Linked DNA regions of Drosophila melanogaster. The protein of the gene in region 3 interacts with the protein of the main gene of each other region in a pairwise test. Each region holds a gene or a part of one and is shown on either strand. Other genes may lie near its edges. The genes, in order: CG7164, CG5516, DCTN3-p24 and CG15152.

Region 1 (3,664 bases), on a different chromosome or scaffold from region 3:
ATAGGTATTATAATGGGTGCTGAATAGTATTATTACTGCCTTTAGACGCGTAGATTATTTCTAACCATGCATTTTGTATTAATTGTGACAAATAATGTACACCCATTTTTTTCTAAGTGTAGGCATGCTCAAAAACAAGCGGCAAAATGTGTGAGCGAGATGGCCTATGGCAACAGGGGCTCACGTAGACACAGCACTTTCATTTCACTCACCTTCATATTTCTCGCGTCGCTCCGACTTGTTTTTCTTGTGCTTCTTGGAGGAGCCCATCTTAGGCTCCCAGTTGTCGAACAATTAGGCAAATCGGTGAAAATGGTAAGCAAAATAATTAAAAACAAAAATCCGCTGGCGAAAAACAGACGCCATGAGCAGTGTGACCGTTCCTTTTGTCCAGAGAATTGTAAGACGTCTCGCTGATATTAGCCATTTGCTTTCCAACACTAAAAGCAATTGATAACATATCGATTTTTACGGCTTTGAATTTAAACTAAAAAATTGTTAATTAAATTGTAAATTTGTTAATTTAAATTTATTTTATAATGTCAAAGATTTAAACAGTAACAGATTTTATCAGTAAATTTTTCTATGTACTTATGCTTGTAAAGTGAAAGAATACTTTACTGAAAAGAACAATTATTGTAGTTTATGCCTTATTTTGAAAATAATTTTTTTTTTGCCGAAGTTTAAATCATTTTTTTTTCTCATTTTTTACTTTGCATTTCACCGAACTTTTCGTTTGAGAATAGGGGCCTTGTTGGTCAGCACACTTTGCCGGTTCATCGGAATGGCAACGGTCCGGGCCTTTCGTTTGCCACCCGAGCGGCGATTGGTGGAGGTCACCATGTTTTGCGTCGGCTTCTGCAGGGCGGTCGACTTCCTGAGACTCGCCTTGTTGGCGGCACTGAATAGGGTGCGCGTCGAGTTGAGGCTCTGCAGCGAGGTGTCCAGCTTGTTGCGAATCCTGTCCAGATCGGCACGCATTCGCTGGATATCCATCGCTATGGTGTGTCGATCGCTTTGCAGCTTCTTGTGCTGCTGCAACATGGTCTCCAGCACTTTCTTCTGTTGGATGACTTCACGGATGCGATTGTGCTGCTCAAAGCCACGCGATCTCTTCTGCTTCTGGTTGATGCAGGCCTTGACCTTCGCCAATGATTTGATGGCAATGCCATGGCCACTGTCCGCCTTCGAAGAGTTGCCGCCACCCTTGATGCGCCCCGCCGACTTGCGTTGCGGTTGCTTGGACACCAGTTTCGATGGCAGTGGTGGTGCAACTACTGGTACTGGATTCGGAGTTCCAGATGTGGGCAGCGGCCCCGTTGGCCGTGGTCTTCGTGGTGCTCGTACCGCTAAGTAAATGATTGATTGGTTTTGAAAGTTTCTGGTTAGTTTTTAGCACAACAGCTTACACTTCATGGTCGAGTGAATATTGGCCACCATATTGTCGTAGGTCTTTCTGGTGTCGGGCAACAGGTAACGTCCTGGCAACTGACTCGATCTTAGCGAGGCCTTGATCCTGTCCCTCCTGGACAGCTGCGACAGCCTGGTCTTGGCGCTCTCCTCCTGTTCCCAGTCCCTTCGCAGCTGGGTGGTCAGGATGTGGTGCAAGGCCAGTCGATTGGTCATGGTCACGCTGTTTGTGGCTAAATGGTTATTTGCTAATTTCGAATTTAGATTGCGAATTTTGACTGCCAAAGTGGTCGAAAATTGTGGAATTTATTTTATATATTTTTTTTTATGAACGATGCCTCATTTTAGGATTTTAGAAAATAGTTCTGATATAATTTGGATTTATTCAGCCAAGGCAAGGGTGATCTCGAAATATGGTTTTGCAATCGATTTATTCATTTTTACACTTTATTTTTTATTAGTTTATTATTGTTTAAATAAGAAGAACGCAGCATATGATTCGTTTGCTTAAATAATTTAAAATACATATATAACTTCGCCGCATGCAATTATGAATTGGCTAAATTGATTTAGATTGATTTAGATTTACTACATCAGAGATCGATCTACAGGTGACTATTGATGTTCTTCCGGGCCAATTGGGCATAGATGGTGCCATGTGGCTTGTCCACTGGGATGAAAACTTCATTGTTGTCGCCGGGTGCAATCTTCTGGAAGGGCTTCGTATCGAAGTTGAAGTAGTGCTTGTTTGGCATGGTCATCGAAATGACCGACACCTGCGGCAGGACATCCAGGACCTGTCTTTCACTCAGATACAGGGTGTGCTGAACGGAGGGCGAGGACACGCCCACCTGCGGATCGCCAGCAAAGTTACGAATGATTATGTTTTTGACCGTTTGCCAGGCCCTGAGGAAGTCCAAGTTCTCGGTATCGGAGTACTCCCAGGAGCAATCCACCACGGTGCTAAAGATGCGATCATACTGATCTGGCAGAGATCTGAACTCATCGTTCACGAAGTTCACGAACGAGGATTGGGTCGTCTTCAGCACCCGGAGACCCTTGATGCCCGTGATGACCGTTTGTTTGGGATCTAAAACAGTAAAGGAGGTGATAATTTAGTAGTTTTAAATATTATTGCTTTAGTTATGTTTGACTTAACCTGTTCTCCTTATAACCACATCGCAGTAGTGAAGAGCGGTGGGCGTGAATATAAAAGCGTGATTGTGCAGTGATCTGTTGTCAATGGAGCTGAAGTCGCAGTTCCCTTGGACTCCGTTCTCGCACTTCCCATTGACGTTGGTCCTGGTCTCCTCCTGGCAAACTCGCTGCCAGGGATACGCCTCCACATGAACGTGCGCCTCCTCCACGTGCGAGTATTTGTTAATAAAGTGCCTGGCCAGGAGCAGAGCAAACTTCTCGGGACTTTCAATGCCATGCTTTTTCGCCAGCAAATAGACGGTGTTCTTCTGCGAATCGGTGGCCACGATGTCCGAGTTGTTGCCCTGGTAGTAATCCTTTTTGCTGTACAACTTCAGGTGAGTGCCCACCTCGAATTCCTGGATGGCGTGCACGGGTCCGTTGCGGCTGACATGCAGCACCTTGACCGCATCCTTGCCGTATCCGTGATCGGTAATCTCGTACTGATACGGCTTACCATGCTCATCCATGCCGGCGGAATTCTTTGGGGTCTGGTGGTTAGCCGCAGCTGGCTGTCTGAGGGGCGTGGCAAACATTGTGACTGCAATCACTCTCACTTTGATACTGATGATGCCATCAATTTCCTTGCCGCCTTTTATATCAGAACACCTGGATAACAACACAAATCTTTGTGTAGTTAGGGATTTTTTTTAGCGCATTTCGTAGAAAGCAAGTGGCTGGGAAATCGTATATCATCACTCTCACTTAGAGTATTAAAGGTCTAACTCAAATTACGACTAGTAGCGCTGATAATCGCGGCCTGGTGCCAAGTAAACATGACCAAGACTCAAGGCTATGTTTTCTATCTCCAAAACTTTGCATCTTGTTTACTTCACACTCATCTAACCAAATCCTTATTTTTGCAATATTACGTAGGAGATAAGTCGCAAATGCCGTTTTAACCATTAGCATCACTTTCGGGGGTAAATGAAAATTGGTAAATAATTTTTACAGATCACATCTCTGAATTTTATTCTTTTTTAAAATCTTAATTTCTCTCTTATTCACGCACGAGTCACTATTATTATTAAAACCTTGAAAATGTGTGCGTTGAAAA
Region 2 (3,009 bases), on a different chromosome or scaffold from region 3:
CATTTAGTTTTTATAAGTAATCTAAATTCAATTCATTTATTTCCTTGTCCATTGGAAGTATACCATATAAGGCCTTCATTAAAAAGGGGTCTTTCTAAGGTTAAAGTTTATTATTTGTTTTCAAAATGCTGCAAACAAATCGAGTCCTTCAAAAAGAGCAGGCTGAACTATTTGCTATCCAGAAGAAACTCGACCGAGTGCTCCCCGTCATTCAGGAGGCATTAAATTCACTAAAGGTATCTACAAATCTCTTGCTTCAATGACGGTTTTCCCAATTCAGTGTTCCACAGGTAGAGGAGCTGCATCTCAAGTCTCAGGTGGTGGGCCAGCAGAACCCAAAAACGCAGTGCTCCCCTGGAAGGGATCCCCTCCACATAGATCTGTCGGTGGAGCAGTCCCCAATCACAACTGTGATGGAGTCCCATCTCGTCAACAGCCAGCAAATAGATCTGGATCTCGTAAGCCAAATGAGGCGTTTCGAGGAGGAAGTCGACTCGGATTAAAATTGTTATTAAGGCTGGAACTTTACCAGAAAAACGTACATGTTGGGAGCATTAAAATATAAACAATACAGTACCAAAAGTATGTTCATTTTCGGTGTAAGTGTGGGAAAACTAAACTAGTAAAGCTACATACTACAGACCACAAATCGGTCTCTTGATTACTCTTGATCGTCAGAAGATTCAGGTGAACTCCCGGCTCGTTTTTTCTTTTTTTGTGGAGCTCCCTGCTTTTGATCCTCGCTGCTGTCGCTGTCCGAGCCACTTCCACTGGAGTCTGACGAGCTGCCTTCCTCGTCGTCCGAATCCGAACTGGAGCTGCTCGAGTCTGATTCGGATGAGGAGCCCGATTCGCTGCTGCTGTCTGAGCTGTCCGACGAGCTGGAGGAGGACGAGGAGCTCTTGCTCGTTTTCCGCTTTCGACGGACCTTCTTTCCTTCCGAGGAAGCCACTTCCGAGTGCTCCTCCACCTGGTTCTTGGGTGCGTCAGCCTCCTTTTGGGACATACGCTTGCTTAGCTGCTTGGTACGCGAGCTCCGGTGGACGTATTTGCGCTTCTCCTTGCACTCATAGCTCCAGTGTCCGATCTGCAGGCACTTCTGGCACCGGATGCCATTGGGAAAGTCTGCTGCTTGCTTTGCGGATCTGTTGTTACAGAATTCGTAGGTTACAACAAAAAAGCCGGCTGGGGTACTTCTTAAACGCGACTAACCTCTTCTTTTGCGCTAATTTGCGGGCAGCTAGGCCCACCAAAGTCATCCTGAAGCACTCGAGCAGACGCTGTTGGGAGGAAATCTTGATGTGGGTGGAAACCAACGTGGCCGGGTGGAAAAACTGGGAAAAATGAGTATCAAAAATGTTTTTTATAATTTTTTTCGTCACATTAGCGATAGTCCACTGAAAATTGTATACTTCGCAAATCGACTGTATATGGTATGGTCACCCTTATTGTTATCGGCTATCGAACTCAACAGCTGCTTGCCTAATTTGTGTCTACCTGGTTTATGTTGAAATGTCTGAATTTTAAAGTTAATTAAGCCAAAATTTAAGTGCATTATGCATGGTCGTAAAAAAAATAAGAAATAAGCAACAGCTGACAGCTATTTCACCCTTAATTGACTGGCACAAATTGCTTGGTCAAACAATAACAAAAGCGCTGTGCTGACTAAGCGGCGAAAGTGGTTGCAACAAAGTCCAATCACTATCAATCGGTAAGGTTGCTGCAGGTCATTTGCTGACCAGTAATAAAGGATTTCATACACAGCTAGCCATGGACAACAGCGCGTTGATGCCACAGGCGAGCGGACGTCATATGCCGCCCGAGGAACTGGCCATGCAAGCACTAACCAAGCAGCTTTACAAGTCTCGTCTCTTCCGCGGTTATTATATGGAACGCTGCTTGGTGGAGCAGGTGTCCGGCTACCGGGACGTGGTGGTGCTTCAACGCAGTGAGCGAGAGTTGGAGAAGCTGCTGCACTCGAGTGCCGGCCAATTACAAAAGTTTTATCAACGCTTCGTGCCCAATATGTGGGTGGGCATCACCTATGGGAGTTACGGAAGTTACCAGCACAAAGCAGATCCTGGTCAACTGGAAACCTGCATCTGGACAGAGATGAATGATCTGGCTTTTGGAGAGTATTGGTTTAGCATCAAGACCCTTCGCTTCCGGGACCATGAAGTCCAGTTCAAACTGAAGATGATAAGGCCCGTGGAGCCAGAGCTGATGGCGACGCCGAGGAGATCACTGATTCTTAATAGAAGTAGCCCTGTTAAGGCGATCACAGCGGGTGGGGAAAACTCCTCCTCCAAGCCGGATGAAGTGGCGGAGCAAATTCAGCTGGGCCTTAATGATTTTTTGGCTGTGCTGCAACAGTGGGGTGATGGAGTCAAACAAACCGTGTACGACTTCATGACCAACGATGTCAACAAGAGGAACATTTTGGGCACCATTCGGTTTCTGGGTCTACTAATTTTCTCTGCCTTGGGTGGAGCCGCACTAGCGCTACGATTCCTAGGCGTATTTGCTGTGCGATTCCTGTTTGAGCTGAGTCGTTTCACACATACAGCCACTCCAATAGTGTTTAAACTAATCGAGTTTCTGAACAAGATTGTGGGTGCTATCTTCATACTTTTGACCATGATTTGGAAAGACATTGTCACTCGTGGACATCCGGAACCGAAACAGCAGCAGCTGCATCTGGAGGCAAGTAGCCGCTTCAAGAGCATCCAATACGAGCGTTCCGAACCAAATCGACGTAGTCCCCGGTGGTGACCCGCCACTAAAAGCACATTAATGTCTAGCAAAGTGTTCCGAGGTGTAAGGGCAACGAAAAATCATTGAAATTGTGTTACTAGCCGTAAGCAAAGCGAAGCCAATCCCAATCCCCGCTTCGAGTCCGAGGGTATTTGCCCTGCAAATATGGGGACACCTATGAGATTTACAGATTTTAGTCAATTGCAATATTGTAAATTATTAATTGGCGTGCCACTGGCGCACAATCGCATGCTT
Region 3 (3,731 bases):
TGTCTCCACCAGCGAGGTGGAGGCGCAGTTGAGTAATCTGGCTGGCTACAAGGATGTGATTGTGTACGGCGTAAGCATACCCAACACTGAGGGCAGAGCAGGAATGGCAGCCATCTACGATCCCACTCGGGAGGTCAACGTCAGCCAGCTGGGCGTGGAACTGGCCAAATCCCTGCCCAACTACGCCAGGCCGCAGTTTCTCAGATTCCTGCGCAAAATCGACCTGACGGGCACCTTCAAGTTGCGCAAGGTGGAGCTTCAGCAGCAGGGCTTCAATCCGGAGATCATCGACGATGAACTCTTCTACGCCCAACCGGATGGCGTGTATGCTCCACTCACCCCATCCGTATACGAGAGGATAGTTAGAAACGAGCTGCGATTCTAGGAGCGCCGGACTTTGTTCTTGGGAAGAAGAAAAGTCAAGACTGTGCCTTGTATGTTGGTGAAGAGGATATCCTTTGGATTCGGCTTGTGGTGCGCCAACTACTTTTAATTCTGGCTAAGTTTCTTATTGTCCGGACAATATAAACTTTAGCATTGGAAATTTACTGTTGAAAGAGCGTTTCCGCGGGTAAATTATTATTTTGTAACTATTTCCTTCTACAATTCCTACATACATAAGTGTCACATCGTATTGTATACATTGTATAGATAATAAAAATAAAATTCAGCCAATGATAAATCCATATTGTGCTCTATTATGTGATTATAGCATTTTCCTTCTGTAAGACAGGATTTTGATTGGTTTTCATTAGATTTGTAATTTAGTTTATTGTGCTTAGTTAAATAGTTTTTAAAAATGAAACTTACAATTGAAAGAGCATCATTAGCCACTTTACGTTGGAGTAGTTAGAAAATCTAATATCCCGGCTTCCTTAAACAGTTCCAATCAAATCGGGATGGCTTTAGCTACGATTACACTTTTCAATAGAACCTAGGTTACATCCATTGCTTGAGCAACTGATGCCTTCAGCTTAAGTGGAACCAGATTTTCAGGTGAACGGATTTGGAAACGGGGTCGTATAAAATACTTTCAGCAGTCTTTGGATCTATATCCGCTCAATCCTTGGGCGGCACATCCTTGCTCAACTCTGCACGCTTCCTCTGCTCCATGCGCTCCTCTACCTGGTCCAAGCGCTCGCTCATGGCATCCAGGGAGCTCAGCAGTCCCGCCTGGATCTCGCCATATCGCTTCATGGCCAGGACCAGACTCTCCTCGATAAGTTCGCTCTGCTGCGCGTACTCCCCGTTGTTCTGCGTTATGCCCTTTAGCTGCTCCAGACACTCGGCGGGAATGCTGCGGAAGTACTCCGCGCCCAGGGCCGGTTCCAGCTGCTTAATCCTCTCCAGCTGCTCGGCCTGCGTGTGCAGCTCGGGGGCCACGGCTTGCAGGTACACCTCCTTGGAGCGCACCTGCTGGTGCTCCTCCAGGAAGTTGGGGTCCAGGTACTTCTCCAGCTCGTCAGATCTCTTCACGCACTGCTGCAGTGCAGCACTTCCTGTGGTTGCTTCGCCCAGGATGGCGTGTGCCGAGCACAGGGCGTCGACCACGCCCTCGCCCACCTCAGAGTCCTGGACCGGACCCAGGACTCGTGTCAGGGCATCGATGCGCTTCTCCAGAATGTCCAGTGCCTCCATTTTTCGCTGAATTTCTCTTTATTTTGTTCGTTTTGATGGGAATGATGTCAGTCTGCAAAACAATCGATGTCCAACGAAAAGGTGGCAACGTTAGCTTGGTGGCAAGGTTCTTGTACTCGCTAAGCAGAACGAATTAACCCTTATGCGGACTAAAAAATATGGTATTTAAATAAAATATTTAGCTCCTCTGCATAAAGTTTTTGGTGCATACGTATCTATAAATATAGTACACACTTAAATTCCATTGCTATTTACTTAGTTTCTTTTAAACGTAAACTGTACAATACAAAAATCTCAGTTACAACAGCTTAAAATTCTCGAGGGACAACCGCTCCGCATCCTTGTTGATCTGCGCCAGACTATCCTCGGAGATGATGCGCACCGTATCGACGTCCGGGTCATCGCCTCCGGAATCATCCAGCACACACAGCAGACCATCGTTCTCGATGTACGGGAAGAAGAACTCGGGCTTGTCCCAGCTCTCCTTATCGCCGATTCCGTGGTGCGACTCTTGTGCCATGTGCTCCACGAGCAGCTCCTCCTCGTCGAACTGCAGATCGCAGGTCACGCAGCGCAGCAGGCACATTTGGCGGCGCAGGTAGTTGACCACCTTGACGCGTTGGTAGAAGTTCAGAGAGCTGGTGGCCTTCTCGAAATCCAAGCGATGAACCTCGTGCATGTGCTTCTTGAGGGCGGTGAAGTTGTCGCCGAGATGGTGGCAAAACAGGCACTTAATGGAGCTAGGCTCACCATCTGCCGCCCAATCCGACCAGTCCGAATCGTGTTCGCCATCCGAATCAGGGCGAGCGAAGTGCTTGTCGAAGTCCACGCTGCCGGTTTCAGGATCAGCAACTGTGGACACGGATGCCGTTTCCCGTCTTCGCTTTTGGAGGTGCTGTTTCCGGGGCGTGGGGGCCGTTGGTACACGATTGTAGTTGATAAGGAAGTACTTGTCGTACTCCCTTCGGTTCGGATTGATCCGCTTGTGGCCCTTCTTGCGCATGTGTTCCTTGAGCGTGGGCCGATCCCTGAAGATCTTCTCGCAGTAGAGGCACATTAACCGATTCAAGTTCTCCTCCAGGTGATCCAGCAGTTCGTCCACATACACCAGCTTCTCGGGCTTGCCGACCAACAGAAAGTGCTTGTCAAACAGATGGTCCAGATAGTCCGCCCTCAATCCCTTGATGATGGCCCTGCAGAAAAGGCACTCCTTGGAGAAGGTGCGGTCGGTTAGCTCGAACTGATGTCGCTCCAGGGCTTCACTTAGGCGCTTCTCCTTCAACCTTCGCCGCAGCTCGTAGTCCTGGGGCAGGATGTCACACAGCAGGTAGTACTTTTCGTTCTTGGCGTACTTGCCATCGGGCAGCTGATCCAGGAACATTGTGGTGCAATATTGCTCGAATTCGTGGGCTAAAATGGGTAACAATTATTAAATTTTCAGGGTAGGGTTGCTGATTCTCTCACTGTGAAACTCCTTTTCCCAGTACTGGAGGTAGTCCTCCAGAAGCGCTATATCCTCCACATCGGCGATGACCAGTCGGTGCTCCATATACAAATGCGCCAGGCAGTCATCTTTATCTGACGGAAATATGTACACCTTGTCGCATTTCAGGCACTTGATGGCCGTGTTCTTGGAGGGCTTGAGTTTCGAACTGCCAGTGATCTCCTCCAGCGAGGAATCCCCTCCTGAAACAGCCACCTCGTGCTCCATTTGTTTACGTTCTCCTGGTGCTCCACGAATAAGTGTGACCGCAGGTGCTTAGCGGCAAAATACTGTTTGCGAGATAAGCTTAATTATGACGTACACTGGAAACAATTGAAAATTTAATGAATTTAATTTAATGCACAAAAAAAATTAAATAAATACTTACAACTGTCTTATGAAGACTAAATAATCAAAAAATGATATTCAGTATTTTCGATGTAGACAACACGTACTGGAAATGTTAATATCCTTATAGGATATTATACGATTCAAATATTTGTAACTTATCTGTGAATTAAAATTCTGAAACTTACAAATACATTGTTCGTTAAGTTTTCAACAGACTATGATGAATCAGCAGCATCTTATCGGTTAAAAATGTTTTTTT
Region 4 (2,942 bases), on a different chromosome or scaffold from region 3:
CTTTTTTAATTCCATCGTTTGTAGATGTATATGGACAGAACAATTAAAAGCATGCAAAAATTATAAAGAACACATAAGCCAACGAAATTAAAGTTTTGCAAAAAAGTATATGGCCTTGAGTCTTCCTCAGTTAATATTTCCATATTAGAGTCGTTATGAATCGCATCGGTTTGTTCTTGGTCCACTCCGTTGAGGGTGCAACTATCTCTATCCAATAAGACATCTTTTTCTTCACTTTAAATAAACAAATTATCACTTTAATGCTTTTGAAATACTTTCAAATAAGTATTATACCCCATTTTTTTGGAGGCACTCTGATCTTTTCAGCTTGAAGGCTCTGTATAAACTGGATGAAGGCACTCATCTGCAAACATGAAAAAATATTCAAGGGAATCGAATTCAAGAACGGAGGCACACTGTACTAAAATCTTTCGGATCGTATGCAGCTTGCACCATTAAAAATGATAATATATTGACAAATTTTTAAGGGACTACCGTCCTAAGTAAAACTATATAAGAGGTATCTGTAAAGTAAGTCTGAGATCACAAGTACATTCATTAGATAAATAACTAAAATTAGTGTAAGAAAAAATATGAACTAATAAAATAATTATTTAAGAAAATTTCTGAGAGGAGTAAACTCACCATAAGAACCCTAGAAAGGGTATTTGTAAGTAAAAACCAAAGCTTTCAGAGAATTTGACTGAAACTAAGAGACAACATTAAAGAGAACCTCTCAAGACGGAAATATATACAGCTGCGGTTAAAATAATAGCACTACTGGAGGTGGAAAGTTCATTTCCTAAAAATAATTATTAAATGTTTATATTTTTTAAAGTCAGATTGCATGAATAATAAGTACCATATGTTGGCTCTCTGAGCAAGAAATTTATGGTCTCTCAATGTAAAGGTTCTTTTTGTTTTTGGGCACTTGCTGCAAAAGTGCGCGAAATGAGGCGGTAACAAAAATAGCACTGACCACGTATTTGCTGAATAATAGAGTGATTGCTTTGGGTTTTTTTCGACAAATTTTGAAAAAGGAGTTGTATTAAAGGTTTTAATTGAATTTTTTCCAAACGAAGACCAAAAGTTCTCTAGTCATGGGTCGCGGCAAGCATTTTACCGTCGAAAAAAGAAATTTGATTAAAAACATGATCTCTAAAGGTAAAAAATACGCTGAAATTGGTGGCATTGTGGGTTGTTCAAGCTAAATGATCCGCAAAGCACTGCTGTTTGTCGAAAAGAACGAAACACGGCGAAGAAAGCCCTCAATGTCGCTTGGTTAGGCAAGGCAAGAAGGAGCCTTTAAAGCCGGCGACGGAACTGAAGAAGGAGCTTCAGATAGCTGAAAGCGGGGAAACTGACAAAAAAGAGAATCTCTCAAGACGGAAACAGAGTGCCAGAAGTATATAAGTACTGAAATGCCTAATATATGAATGTAAAACATTTATCGCTTTTAATAGATTGTTATCAAAGTTGATAGGGTTTGATGATTCGTAAGTAAGCATAAATTGATAACGTAGAACAAATTGATCTCTCTTCGCAATCTCTTACTTCAATGTGATTTTCTTGTCATTTTGAGACTCTTCTCCGCTCTCGTTTGACGGGTTTTCTCAGACTTATATAGTTATCTTATCTGAGTCACAAGCAACAAAAAGAAGATTGTCAGCTCTTGACGGTTCACTGTTTGCCTTGTTGTTGCCTCAATTACCACCTTCTGCCGTGGCGATAATAACCCAGACCCCAAACTGATTGGTAATCATGAAAAAGAGGGAAGGAAAAAACCGCTGAAAATGCCCGGAGACCAGCGAATCGCTCTTTAGTCGAGAGCAGAACGCGTTTTGAAATGGACACGGATGAGACTAAGGCTGGAACCTCGGGTCCGGGGACGTACCACGATGAGGTTGACTTTACCAGCGGATACGAGACTCAGTATAAGAAGGAGTACAGCCCGCTGAAACCGATTTTTGTACCGCCGCCGGATAAAAAGCACGCCTGGTTTCGCAACTGGTCCACCATACTGATGGTCAGCTTCCTGTCCGGGGTGTTTATTCTGGGAACCGTGATGCTGGTGGTCCAAGTTTTCACCGCCAGTCCCCTGCAGATCTTCATGATCGTGGCTATATATGTGGCTATAGCCGCTGTGATGATTTGGCTGGAGGTGCAGTCTATAAAAGTGCGGTGAAATAATATGTACGTGTCGTGACTAATTTAGAGCGTTATCGCACTTACGAGCTACGTTCTGTTTTCAAACAGTGGCAATCGAACTGTGTTCTGCTAGCAAATGCAAAGCTTAACTAAAAAGGAAGCGGCTTTACTGATTAGGCGCTAAGAACAAAAAATCATGATTTAATATAAGTTCAAAGTAAAGAAAGAAATCCCATAATCCATGTGTTTTATTTTTGACTAGACAGTGCTTTTAACGTTTTCCGATAATTCCGGTTCAATTAACTAATTATTTACGGCCCATAAATGAACGTAATCTAGAGAGCGAAACAAGGTGGCCAGATAAAGGGCTTTGTGTGAGATAAGCAAACAAAAGTGAACGAAAGAATCACGAATTCAAGCCATTTAACTGCAAAATAAATACGCATTTTGTTTGTCGATGTATAAAGGACAAATGTTGTAGTGACACATTAAAGCTCCATACATCACAGAGATTAACAAAGCAAAGTACATAAAAAAGATTCCCTTATCAATTAACTAATTAAATTAAGCACGCTAATTAAAAATTCATTAATAGCGGCTTAGCGATGGAGAGTGGAAATTCAATTATTTAACGCTGTTGTTTATTAAAGGAAGTGTCACAAACCGCATCTGCGCCGGTGTTTGGCACACAAAATTATTAAAATTATTTCCACTCTCACTTGAAAAAGAAAAAATACAACGAATTTTCAACTATGCCAGTTCCCAATGGAAATAGTTCTCTAAATATTTTCACA

Evidence for each region.
Region 1: the proteins of DCTN3-p24 (region 3) and CG7164 interact in a two-hybrid assay, tested with the Drosophila melanogaster proteins (one large-scale study listed by BioGRID).
Region 2: the proteins of DCTN3-p24 (region 3) and CG5516 interact in a two-hybrid assay, tested with the Drosophila melanogaster proteins (one large-scale study listed by BioGRID).
Region 4: the proteins of DCTN3-p24 (region 3) and CG15152 interact in a two-hybrid assay, tested with the Drosophila melanogaster proteins (one large-scale study listed by BioGRID).

What each region holds. Positions count from the first base shown.
Region 1 is NT_033779.5:7,779,597-7,783,260, reverse strand, and holds CG7164 (uncharacterized protein), read right to left. Parts: upstream 1,797-3,664; 5' UTR 1,627-1,796; coding exon 1,410-1,626; intron 1,350-1,409; coding exon 721-1,349; 3' UTR 501-720; downstream 1-500. Other genes in the region: Brd7-9 (bromodomain containing 7/9), read right to left, coding at 213-270; Uro (urate oxidase), read right to left, coding at 2,016-2,500, 2,570-3,143.
Region 2 is NT_033777.3:15,962,301-15,965,309, reverse strand, and holds CG5516 (uncharacterized protein), read right to left. Parts: upstream 1,427-3,009; 5' UTR 1,260-1,426; coding exon 1,213-1,259; intron 1,146-1,212; coding exon 662-1,145; 3' UTR 549-661; downstream 1-548. Other genes in the region: CG32856 (uncharacterized protein), read left to right, coding at 126-236, 291-503; CG4287 (uncharacterized protein), read left to right, coding at 1,771-2,772.
Region 3 is NT_033778.4:23,060,873-23,064,603, forward strand, and holds DCTN3-p24 (dynactin 3, p24 subunit), read right to left. Parts: upstream 1,722-3,731; 5' UTR 1,639-1,721; coding exon 1,060-1,638; 3' UTR 548-1,059; downstream 1-547. Other genes in the region: Fatp2 (fatty acid transport protein 2), read left to right, coding at 1-385; CG9890 (uncharacterized protein), read right to left, coding at 1,937-3,048, 3,103-3,349.
Region 4 is NT_033779.5:18,112,837-18,115,778, forward strand, and holds CG15152 (uncharacterized protein), read left to right. Parts: upstream 1-1,710; 5' UTR 1,711-1,846; coding exon 1,847-2,185; 3' UTR 2,186-2,384; downstream 2,385-2,942. Other genes in the region: CG44476 (uncharacterized protein), read right to left, coding at 6-234, 295-299.